Linked DNA regions of Schizosaccharomyces pombe. Changing the gene in region 1 together with any one later gene gives a genetic interaction. Each region holds a gene or a part of one and is shown in the gene's direction. Other genes may lie near its edges. The genes, in order: jmj1, sec28 and rdl1.

The links.
Region 2: mutations in jmj1 (region 1) and sec28 together harm fitness less than expected from each alone (positive genetic interaction), as found in Schizosaccharomyces pombe (one large-scale study listed by BioGRID).
Region 3: mutations in jmj1 (region 1) and rdl1 together harm fitness more than expected from each alone (negative genetic interaction), as found in Schizosaccharomyces pombe (one large-scale study listed by BioGRID).

Annotation. Positions count from the first base shown.
Region 1 is NC_003424.3:2,523,890-2,527,648, forward strand, and holds jmj1 (histone demethylase Jmj1), read left to right. Parts: upstream 1-1,914; 5' UTR 1,915-2,027; coding exon 2,028-3,422; 3' UTR 3,423-3,621; downstream 3,622-3,759. Other genes in the region: protein Ddr48, read right to left, coding at 1-717.
Region 2 is NC_003423.3:2,325,538-2,329,130, forward strand, and holds sec28 (coatomer epsilon subunit protein), read left to right. Parts: upstream 1-1,936; 5' UTR 1,937-1,968; coding exon 1,969-1,999; exon of another isoform or gene 2,000-2,043; coding exon 2,044-2,879; 3' UTR 2,880-2,964; downstream 2,965-3,593. Other genes in the region: put2 (delta-1-pyrroline-5-carboxylate dehydrogenase), read left to right, coding at 1-1,365. UniProt on the Schizosaccharomyces pombe protein: The coatomer is a cytosolic protein complex that binds to dilysine motifs and reversibly associates with Golgi non-clathrin-coated vesicles, which further mediate biosynthetic protein transport from the ER, via the Golgi up to the trans Golgi network.
Region 3 is NC_003424.3:2,007,596-2,011,021, reverse strand, and holds rdl1 (RAD51D-like protein 1), read left to right. Parts: upstream 1-1,874; 5' UTR 1,875-2,180; coding exon 2,181-2,873; 3' UTR 2,874-2,926; downstream 2,927-3,426. Other genes in the region: RNA-binding protein involved in heterochromatin assembly Dri1, read left to right, coding at 1-1,117; exosome RNA helicase subunit Mtl1, read right to left, coding at 3,092-3,426. UniProt on the Schizosaccharomyces pombe protein: Involved in homologous recombination where it functions at an early stage of recombination in a pre-recombinogenic complex with rlp1 and sws1. Also has a role at a later stage of recombination in association with the rhp55-rhp57 complex.

The DNA of each region.
Region 1 (3,759 bases):
AGCAGAGGAAACAGCGCCTCTGGTCTTGTTAGCAGTATTGTCGTTGCCATAGGAGCCTCCACGATGCTCAGTACCATGAGAACCACCATGGGTATGGGAGCCAGAGCTTGAATAATCATAGGCACCACCACCGACTGTGTCAGAAGGAGTTGCTTTTTGGCGACTGCCATAGGTATCAGTGGGGTAACTTTGACTGTAATCTTCACCGTAGTCACCACCTTGGGTGGTTTTACGACTTTGGTTGTATTGGCTTTGGCCGTAAGATGCAGTATCATCTGTACGACTAGGGTCGGTGGTGTAACTACCTCCGCTGGTAGAGTAATCCTCGTTGCGTCCGCCGGAAGAATAACTGTCATTGCCTCCTGTAGAGTACTTGTTAGAAGAGTAAGAAGAATCATCGTGTCTTCTCGAGTAAGAGGTATCACCTCCACGGACATCTGATTGTTCCTTCTTACGTGACTCGACACTATTGAATCCCTTCTTAGTGTCGCTAGTCATTCCAGCATAAGGATCCCCGGATCCAATGTCTGTTCCCATGTCGTTAGCAGCACGACTAGAATTGCTGGGAATTTCAGATGTGTAAGAGGTGTCAAAGTTGCGATTTTGAGGGGCACCACTAGAAGAGAAGGGCTCATCACTGTTGTGGACAGCACCAGCGCTTGAGCTGTATTGCTTAGCAGAGTTCATAGAATCGTTTGCACGTTGTTGGTAAGACATTTTATGAAAATATTTGTAGTATTGTAAGTAGAATAATATTTACTTTTCAAGATTCGAATTTATTTTGCGAATATCGATGGAGGAATATCCCTATTTATAAATAAAAAAACCTTTCTCCATTTATGAACTGTTGCAAAGCACTGACGAATTTCTTCATCATGCAATGTGCGTTTTCTTTATTTGATCGCCACTCTTGAATTAAACCACGTACGACAACTTTCTTCACTTTGATCTCTAAGTTCCCTCTGTTAACAAATTGGCATGATCGATTTCAGCCTGCTGATATCACTATTTACAGATCTTCCAATACTAACCATCTGCGTCATACATCACTAGCATTTTGGTGGTGAACTTGGTTACAGTTCGAAGTGCGTAGCGAGAAATGACGAAGTCAGTTATTGTCATAATTATGTATGAAGCTTGTTGGGGATTCCATTTACAAAGTGTATGTTTAGCGAATGTAAACACGGGTTACCAGTAGAAAAAAAAATTTTATGAAATTTCTTCAATAATGGTTTTTTTATCTCCATTCTATTTCATTAGAAATTTTTTTTTTTGCTTTATTTCCATTCTTTGTTTTTATTTTTTTTTTTATTTTCAATATTACTATAAATTCTCATTTTATAAAAATAGATTTTGCAACAGTAAAACTTGGACCGAGTTGATGATGTCTACACTTGTAGTATGGCTTTTTAAAAAAAAAAAAAAAAAAAGATAATAATTATCATCCTTACTTCCTCGAAAGTATAGATAAATCTTTGCGTTCACATTCAGTGTATAATCTAATGTTTACCTCTGTGATTCTTATTTAACTTGTAAACCTTGGTACGGGCATATTATCTCGCTCGTTTCCTGAATGTCTGAGTTTAAATGATAGATATCCGATTTCTGCTTTATTTTTATTTTTATTCTTGCATTCAGTTAAATAAATTAATTTTATTATTTGGTAGTTTTCATAAACTTTTGGCAAACAAATACACACTCCAATAAATATACTCACTCTCTGTAGCGTAAGGAGTACTCACCTTATCTGACTATCTGATGCTATTTTCATATGAAAATTGAGGTCAGACGGTAAATAGCATTTTCCATTCTTCTTATCCCTTCTTTTTTTTTTTTTTTTTTTTACTTAACACCAACTTCGTGATGTCGTGATCCATCATCCATTTATCCTTCCGTAACCTCAGTCAATTTATCATCGTCATCGTATAGCTACACCCGCTGGTCATTTTACTAGCGAAAAAACAACATTTTGTTACGTAAATTACATATACACTTTCTCCACTAAATGAATCATCAAGTTCATCACGATGGTGTATCGTCCCACTGCTCATGAGTTTGACGACTTACCGAAAATCGAGTTCATAGATTCATGCCCATACCAGGTATTCCTTGAGCAGTATCTAAAACCTTGCGTTCCCGTACTTATTGGACCGAAGCTTACTGCTCAATGGAAAGCAAATACTACGTGGATAACTAGTAAGGGTGATCCTAATATCCTGCATAGTTACATTCTACCTGACAAACCTTGTACTTCTAGAGACAACACTAGTGGGAATTCACTACTAAACGACAATGATATAAAGAATTTCATTAGGTCATATGCAGAAAGGATTGTGAATAATGAGGATAAAAATGTGTTTTTGGATTCGTTATTGTTATCGCCAAACTATGAATACTTAGAAGAAAATTACGGAACGATTCCTGTACCATTGGCTTATTGCAATGAAAAAGATCGTTATGGATCTCAACGTCGTGAAACAGTTCCCTTGAAGAGTGCACTTCATGAACTTCGCGATGAACAGGTCCAACTACAATGCCGGCAGGCTCCAAGTAATCAGGCTTTGAAATCCTTATATGCCAAGGATATGCACTTGTTTCGACATCTAGACCCTGCCGATTTTCCTTACAGTACTCCGGACATTTTCGCCGACGACTGGTTAAATGCATACGTGATTGATTGTGAATCCGATGATTTCCGTTTCGCATATTTAGGTAGTCATTTAACGACTACTGGCCTACACACCGATGTCTATGCTAGCCACTCCTTCTCTGTTAATCTCTGCGGTGTGAAATGCTGGCTTTTTATCGATCCCAAAGACCTTCAAACGATTGCCTCCCTTTATGATGACCAGCAATTACCTTCATGGATCACAAAAGATGATTTATTTAGAGGTCCACTTGTAAATCATCGACATTTGATAAAAATTCTCTTCCAATATCCTGGACAAACAGTGTTTGTTCCAAGTGGTTGGTATCATCAGGTTTTAAATATTGGAACTACACTCTCTATCAACCATAATTGGTGTAATGCATCTTGCATTTTACAAATGTACACCGCATTAAAAGAGCAGTATGAAGTTTCCGCAGAGTCTCTCAAGGATTTGCTGGAGGATGGAATCGTAACAAAGGACAGATTTTCTCAGGTTGTTACAGAAGTGGTGGAAGCAAACTACGGTTGGTGTTGGCGTCGATTTTGGGGTATGATCAAACATCAGCTCAAACGAAGGGATGCAATATTACATAGTTCTGAATACTTCTCAAAATGGCCCATACAACCTGAGTTTCTTCCTCCATTATCATGGGAGTATTCAATTTTAAAAAATATTTTACTAAATGATGAGCCCGGCAGCACCTTCGATTCTGGTTCTCCTCCTTCATCGATTGTCACGATCTTTAAATCTCTCGGTGATTTTAAAGAATAGTACTACTCATCTAAACTCCTTTTAAAATGATGTTTTTTTCATTCTGCGTCTGCTTTCTTCAATTTTGCTTACGTCTTTGTATCATTCTCATGCAATGGTTTCCCCAGACAAATACCATCCATATAATTAGTTTACCAGTAATATAGATAGATTTAGATATGTAAAATAAAAATTAAAAAAATTACTTTAGTAAACAATATCCGAGAGATGTTGCTTAAGTTATAAATTTATAATTGATGTATGCTGTAAAAACTCTTAAGACACTGGTGTTTACTTTAATATACTAAAAAAAATTATTTAAAAAAATCACTATTGATAGTTCAGGTTAAAATGTTGA
Region 2 (3,593 bases), on another chromosome or scaffold:
AAGGTCTGGGAATCCTTACCTTTTGCTGACCGTTCTGCCATTTTCTTGAAGGCTGCTCATTTGATAAGCACCAAGTACCGTTACAAGCTCATGGCTGCTACAATGATTGGCCAGGGTAAGAACATCTGGCAAGCTGAAATTGACGCTGGAATGGAGATCATTGACTTCCTTCGCTTCAATACCAAGTATGCTAGTGAATTATATGCCAGCCAACCTCCCGAAAACACTCCTGGTGTCTGGAACCGTATGGAATATCGTCCTTTGGAAGGTTTCGTTTATGCCATTACTCCTTTCAACTTTACAGCTATTGCTGGTAACTTGGCTGCTGCCCCCCTTCTCATGGGCAACGTCGTTTTAATGAAGCCTTCTGACCATGCAGTCCTTTCTAGCTACATTGTTTACCAAATCTTCCGTGAAGCTGGTCTTCCCGCTGGAGCACTTCAATTTATCCCTGGTGACGCTGTTGAAGTCTCCAAGGTTTGTTTCAACCACCCTGAGTTTGCTGGTCTTCATTTTACTGGTAGCACAGCCGTCTTTCGTAGCCTTTGGGGAACAATTGGCGAGAATGTTGCCAACGGAAAATACCGCACTTACCCCAAAATCGTCGGTGAGACTGGTGGTAAGAACTTTCATCTTGTACATTCTTCCGCTGAAATTAAGAGTGCCGTTGTTAATGCTGTTCGTGCTGCTTTCGAATATCAAGGCCAAAAGTGCTCTGCCCTTTCTCGTCTTTACGTTTCTAAGTATGCTTGGGAAAATGGTTTCCGTGATGAGCTTACCAAACAGGTCAAGTCTCTTAAGGTCGGTGCTCCTTTAACTGATTTTGCTAATTTTGTGGGCCCTGTTATCCATCAAGCAAGCTTTAACAAACTGAAGAAGGTTCTTGAGAGTGCTGCTTCCGATTCTGAAATTGAAGTTTTGGCTGGCGGTAAAGCTGATGATTCCGAAGGTTTCTTTGTTGAACCTACCGTTTTACTTTCTAAAAACCCTAAACATGATATATTCGTTAACGAATTGTTCGGCCCCGTACTGTCTGTTTATGTATATGAGGATGACAACTTAGACGCTGTTTGCGATCTCATCGATACTACCACTCCTTATGGTTTAACCGGATCCATCTTCGCTCAGGACCGTGTTGTTGTCAGAAAGTTGACTGACCGTCTCCGTAATGCCGCTGGTAACTTCTATATCAATGATAAGTGTACTGGTGCTGTTGTTGGTGAACAACCTTTTGGTGGTGCTCGTGCCAGTGGTACTAACGATAAAGCTGGTAGCGGAATGATTCTGTCTCGATTCGTTTCTCCTCGCTCCATCAAAGATACGTTTGCTTATGCAGACTCTGTTTTATACCCTTCCAACTTTTAAGTTTGTTTTGGCCTTTTTGATTTGGATTTAATTTTTAGAATTTAGATAGACATTGGAGTTGTAGAGTGTTTTACTCTGTACTTTGATACTGCCATAAAAAAGACCACAACCTTTTTTTTTTTGGGTTTAGTACAATATGTGAGGAATAAAGGAAGTATATATATATATATATATTGATTAGTTACCTTGAGTTAAACTCAAACTTTCAAAGGTAGTCTAGGTTTTACAATTTTTTTTTTTCTTTTTTTTTAAAGCTCGCCATTTGTTATTCTAATAAATTATAATGTTCGCTTTGTTAACATGTATTGATTTATAACACTAGATTTGTTGCATTGTATATAAAAGCCAGTGGACCAAAATGTAGTTTGCTGGTGATTCTTGAATACAACAACGACCTGTAGAAAAAGGATCTCAATTATCGAACATTTTACTTGCTGACTGCGAAATATATTATATTAGGCTTCGGAGCAATTAGAAAAATTACAAGTCTTGATGGAAAGTTCGTTTGCTTTACATTTTGTTGTAGGGTTACTCATGTACAAACACCATTAACCCACATACTCTCTACTCCACACATCGCCCAACATAATTAAAACTTTTAACATGTTTTCATGGGAGGCTAGTTTATCTAATGGTAAGAGATGAGTTGGGAATTAAATAACAACTAATATTTGATAGAACTGTATTTTGTTCGTCAATACTTTTATAGTGGAAACTATACAAAGTTATTTGAAATTGACACGACATCCATGTCTGAAAAAGGTCTTGAATTGACCGAAATTTATATGGCAAGGGCAAAATTAGCTTTAGGTGAAAGTTTAGAATCAATCCAAAGTATTTTAACTCAAAAAACGCCTGGATCAGCTGCTATTCTGGCGCTGGCTGGGGAGGGGAACATGGAGTTAATTATTGACCAGCATGGCAATTCAGACAGTGTGGTACAAACATTAGGAGCTATTTTTCAAATTAAAAATGGTTCTTTTGATGATGCAATGGATTTATTAAAGAAGTCAGTAGAGAACTTGGAGGCGGTGGCGCTTCAAGTATACATTCATTTACGAGAGCACAAAATTGAAGCTGCTGAACAGACATTGAAACAGGCTTTGGATTGGGCTGATGAAGAAATTGTACTACAGCTGGCACAATCTTGGATTAAAATAGTTAGTGGAGGCGTCGAATCCTATAATGATGCATTTTATGTTTTTGAAGAGTTAAACGGAACTGATAGCAATCCAATGACTTTAACTGGTATGGCGTGTGCAGACATATGCTTGTTGAGACCTGAAGAGGCTTTGAGCTCGCTGAAAACTGCCCTCGATTCTCAACCAAATTACGAGGAGGCACTATCAAATATGACTACTGCAATCACGGATTTAGGCCCTGATGCTCCTTCTCAAGCCAAGAATATACTTTCATCTTTTACAAATTCTTCTACACTGAAGTTGAACGATCATTTAAATGAAAAGGCGCAAGAATTTGATACTTTTTCAACTCAATTTTTGAGTACGGCTTAATCCAATAATAATATTGTTTAGAATCTTCAATCCATTAATAAACTTCAAATGTTTGCATTTTTAGTATTTATTCATTGACTATTGCTTCACTCAAGTAATGGCTCGTTGATCTGTCTGGCAAAGCAAGTCAATCCAGTATTGCCTCGATAAATTTCAAGTTTACCAGAAGTAAAGGTATTAAACTAATTAATTAGAAATACTTAACCGCATGCAGAAGAAGACTCATGTAGACATAATAACAAGAAAACGCACCCGAATATATCTCGAAATGAAACATTTAAATGAACGCCGTCACAACAGGAGCGTCTTTAAACCGTTTACTTTTATTTATCAAATACATTCATTAATTAAAAATGAACTATTATGACTATCCACCTATATATTTGTTTTTAAAAATCTAGAATAGGTGGTTCTTGTCCAAAATTACTCAAAACCTGCAGTGCCACAAAATGACAAGCAACAAGTTTGCCTTTACAAATAGAAAAGAAAGATGTTTTGAAATACACAGGTGTTTGGAATTTGGAAAAAGCAAGAAAACCGATATTAAACGATAAGACTTTAAGAATCGAAGATGAACTTGCTCAAACGGCAGTGGCACCATGACAGATTACAACTATATATGCCAACATTTGCTTAACCCCAACATGTATCAAAACTCTTTAACTAGCAAACGTTCATTTTTGCGACATCGAACACTTAAATAAGCATGTATGA
Region 3 (3,426 bases), 520 kb from region 1:
AGACGCACGAAGCTTTTATGCAGAACGGTCAAAAATTGTACACGTTGCAGGTTTGACCAACGATGTAACACAGCTCGAGTTGGAAAGTTGGTTTACTAATCATGGGGTTCATCCCGTAGCTTTATGGACTTTAAAGACTCCCGAACCTTACAAATCTACGGGTACAGGTTTTGTGCTATTTGCTAGTCATGAAGATGCTGCCGATGCTCTTGCCTTTAATGGATATTGCTTAGGAGATCGGATGCTGGAAATTATTCCCAGTAGTACAAAGGTTTTAGATAAAGCTTCAGACATTCTAATTCCTTTTCCTTCTAGTAAGAATCGCCCACGCCCTGGGGATTGGAATTGCCCAATGTGCGGTTTCAGCAATTTTCAACGTCGAACGTCTTGTTTCCGATGCTCATTTCCTGGTCCTACTCATGTTTCAGCTGCTACTGGTAGCAATACTTTTTCACCTGATTTCCCTTATGGAAATTCATACGGCAACGGCTCCTCTCACTTTATTGCCAACTATGGTGGATCTGTCCATCATTCTAACGAAAATACCATGCAAAGTGATCTTCAGCATCAGAATGGCAATAATGCTGTAAATCATCATCATTCTTCACGCTCATTCGGTGGTAATGTCCCTTTTCGTGCTGGTGATTGGAAATGTGGCTCTGAGGGTTGTGGATATCACAATTTCGCAAAAAATGTTTGCTGCTTACGCTGTGGGGCTAGCCGTGCTACAGCTGCAGTCGTAGCAGATCATGCATCTGGGCCGGTGAATGGTTCGTATAGTCATAATTCATATTCTCACATCCCCCCTGTTATGAGTACAAGTCCTCCTAATCATTCGGTGTATCCTTACTCACAACTTTCTATAAATTCAGTAACGGCTAATCATGGTCAAAATTTTGGGGGACAAAATGGTGGTAATGTATCTAGGTTCGATGATCATGGACGCTTTAAAGAAGTATCACGTCCTTCCGTTACTACTGATCAAGGCGATTGGTTATGTGAGTGTGGATTTACTAATTTTCGTCGCCGCAGTAATTGTCTCCGTTGCAATGCTCCGCATTACTCTAATATGCAGATTCCTGCATCCTTGCCTTCGGATTTCAATGCTTACGTGTAAAGTTGGACAATTATATTTAATGGATAGGTCCCGTAGTACAAAGGATATTTGGTAAACACTATAGCTAAAAATGCAAGTGATTAGTGCGATAAAAATAATCACTTATGTCTTGAAGGAGCAAATTTGATGAAACAATTGTTATTATTTAAAGGCAGCATTTTGAAAAGCAACTCTATTGGAACAAAAATTTAAAAGTTGTATTGGGTTTTCTTATGAAGGTTTTGCATAAACATTGAATTACAGGTGTGGTCAAAATTAGTTCATAATTTTCTTTGGTGGGTTTTTTTCTTCTATTTAGTGCTATTTAATTTTTGACCTTGAAGAAATTTTCGGGGAAAAAACAGCAGTCAATCGTATAGAGCTCTCCCATATTTGGGATTTGGGGATTCATTTGTTTTGGAGTGTCACACTCATTGAACGTTTGAAAAAATGGTTGTTTACCTCTTACAGTTGTCAGTGCTGTTCAAATTTATAGGGTTCTTCGGTAAATAATGTATTGTTAATATTCCTTTTTTTTATTATATAATTTATAAAAATTTTGTAACGATAATGATTAAATCAATCGATACATGAGGTTACTTGTAATACATGGCATTATTAGAGAGAATTAAATTCGCATATGTAGCATTTAAAAACAGTTAGTTGATGCTTTTCTATTTTTTCTTTTTATTCTTAAAGGGTTATTCTCAATATATACAAATCCACACCAGTGTGGCTATATACTGTACTCGAATGTTGACGACCTTTCTGCTTCTTTAATCCATACCCTAATTAAATATAATCCATGTAGATAGTTCAACAAAAAACATGAGATAAGATTCAACACACACTCATGATTAGTTAAATACTTGTTGAACATTCCGGAAATTTTTGACGATTGTACGTATCTTTTCCTTCAACGCATTTGGGTGTTTATCTCTTTTAGAATGCCATTAGCATAACCAGGGGATGATTGCAAAAATCAATTTCATTGATCATCAATATCGTTGGAAAAAACAATTCTATCGAAAGTTTAAAGCATACCAAGCAAATTCTTAAAGCAGCTTATATATTTTCTGACATTATGAATCAGGTTACTCAATTTAGTGGAAATTCTGCAAACTTGATGCTTTACTGGATTCTAAAAAGTTATTACTCTAGGTTTGATAGAATTATGTGGATTGATACTTTAGGTACTTTCAATCCGGCTGCACTCCCTCTTCCATGTCTTGAAAAAACTATGTTGGTTAGATCATTCGATGCTCAGGGATTGAAGGATGCAGTTGATGAGTTGGAAAGCAATCTCAAAAGCTCCGAAGATCAAGCATATGCATTGTGTATAGATTCCTTTTCTAATCCCATTGGTTTGTTAATGGCTCAGGGCAATATATCTTTTGCACATGCATTCATGATGACTTTAGGAAGAAAATGCCGAATCCTTACCAGAAAATTCAGATTAGCAGTATACTTATCTACTTCTCTTGTGTACATAAAGCAACTCCACCTTTCCAAACCAGCGCTGGGAAACAGCTGGCCATTTTGTCTTGACCATTCATATATTCTAGAAGATCAACAGCATAATAAATGTTTAGTACATTGCAACCAAAGTCGTAAAGATTTACTAGGTTGCTCACAACTTTTTTTACTCCTTAAAGGTTCGTTTACTCACGAATATTTGACTATTGATTTCTACAATGGTACACCTGTCTCTGTTTCATCTAAATTGCATGTATCACCAAGTCTGTATCACTCATCTACGCTCAACAGTCCATCATGAGTATACTACCCCAAAATATCAAAGTTTAAAAAATATGTAGATGACTTATTAAGGATTTATTTAATGATATTGTTTTTTATACATTCAATAAAAATCTGTAGATAACACTTCTAAATAAAGAATTAAAACTAACATATATAAAAAGAATATTGCACAAAATCGAAATCATATTTGATAGGCCAAACGATCATTGTCAATATCAAACTTTCGCTACAAATTTAGAGGTATAGAGAGGCCGAAAATATGATATCACGATGCAACTTTTGTTCAGTCAACACACTCTTCTCTTTCAATTCATTATTGCCTAATACAATAGCAGCATGTTCAAGTTGTTTTAACAACTCATCTAATCTCCTGAACGTTCGAACAATTGAACCTTCATAAAGCTTGGAGACAATGCATATTTCTTGAAACGAGGCTCCATTGATCCATAAAGATACAGGCTCCATAATGTCAGGCTTAAACTGATGGAGGTAGTCGCTTTCGTTAAATTGAAGCTTACTTTCTAACGAAACGGTTGCTATGCGCTTTGCTGCTTCAATAATCGTTAGAT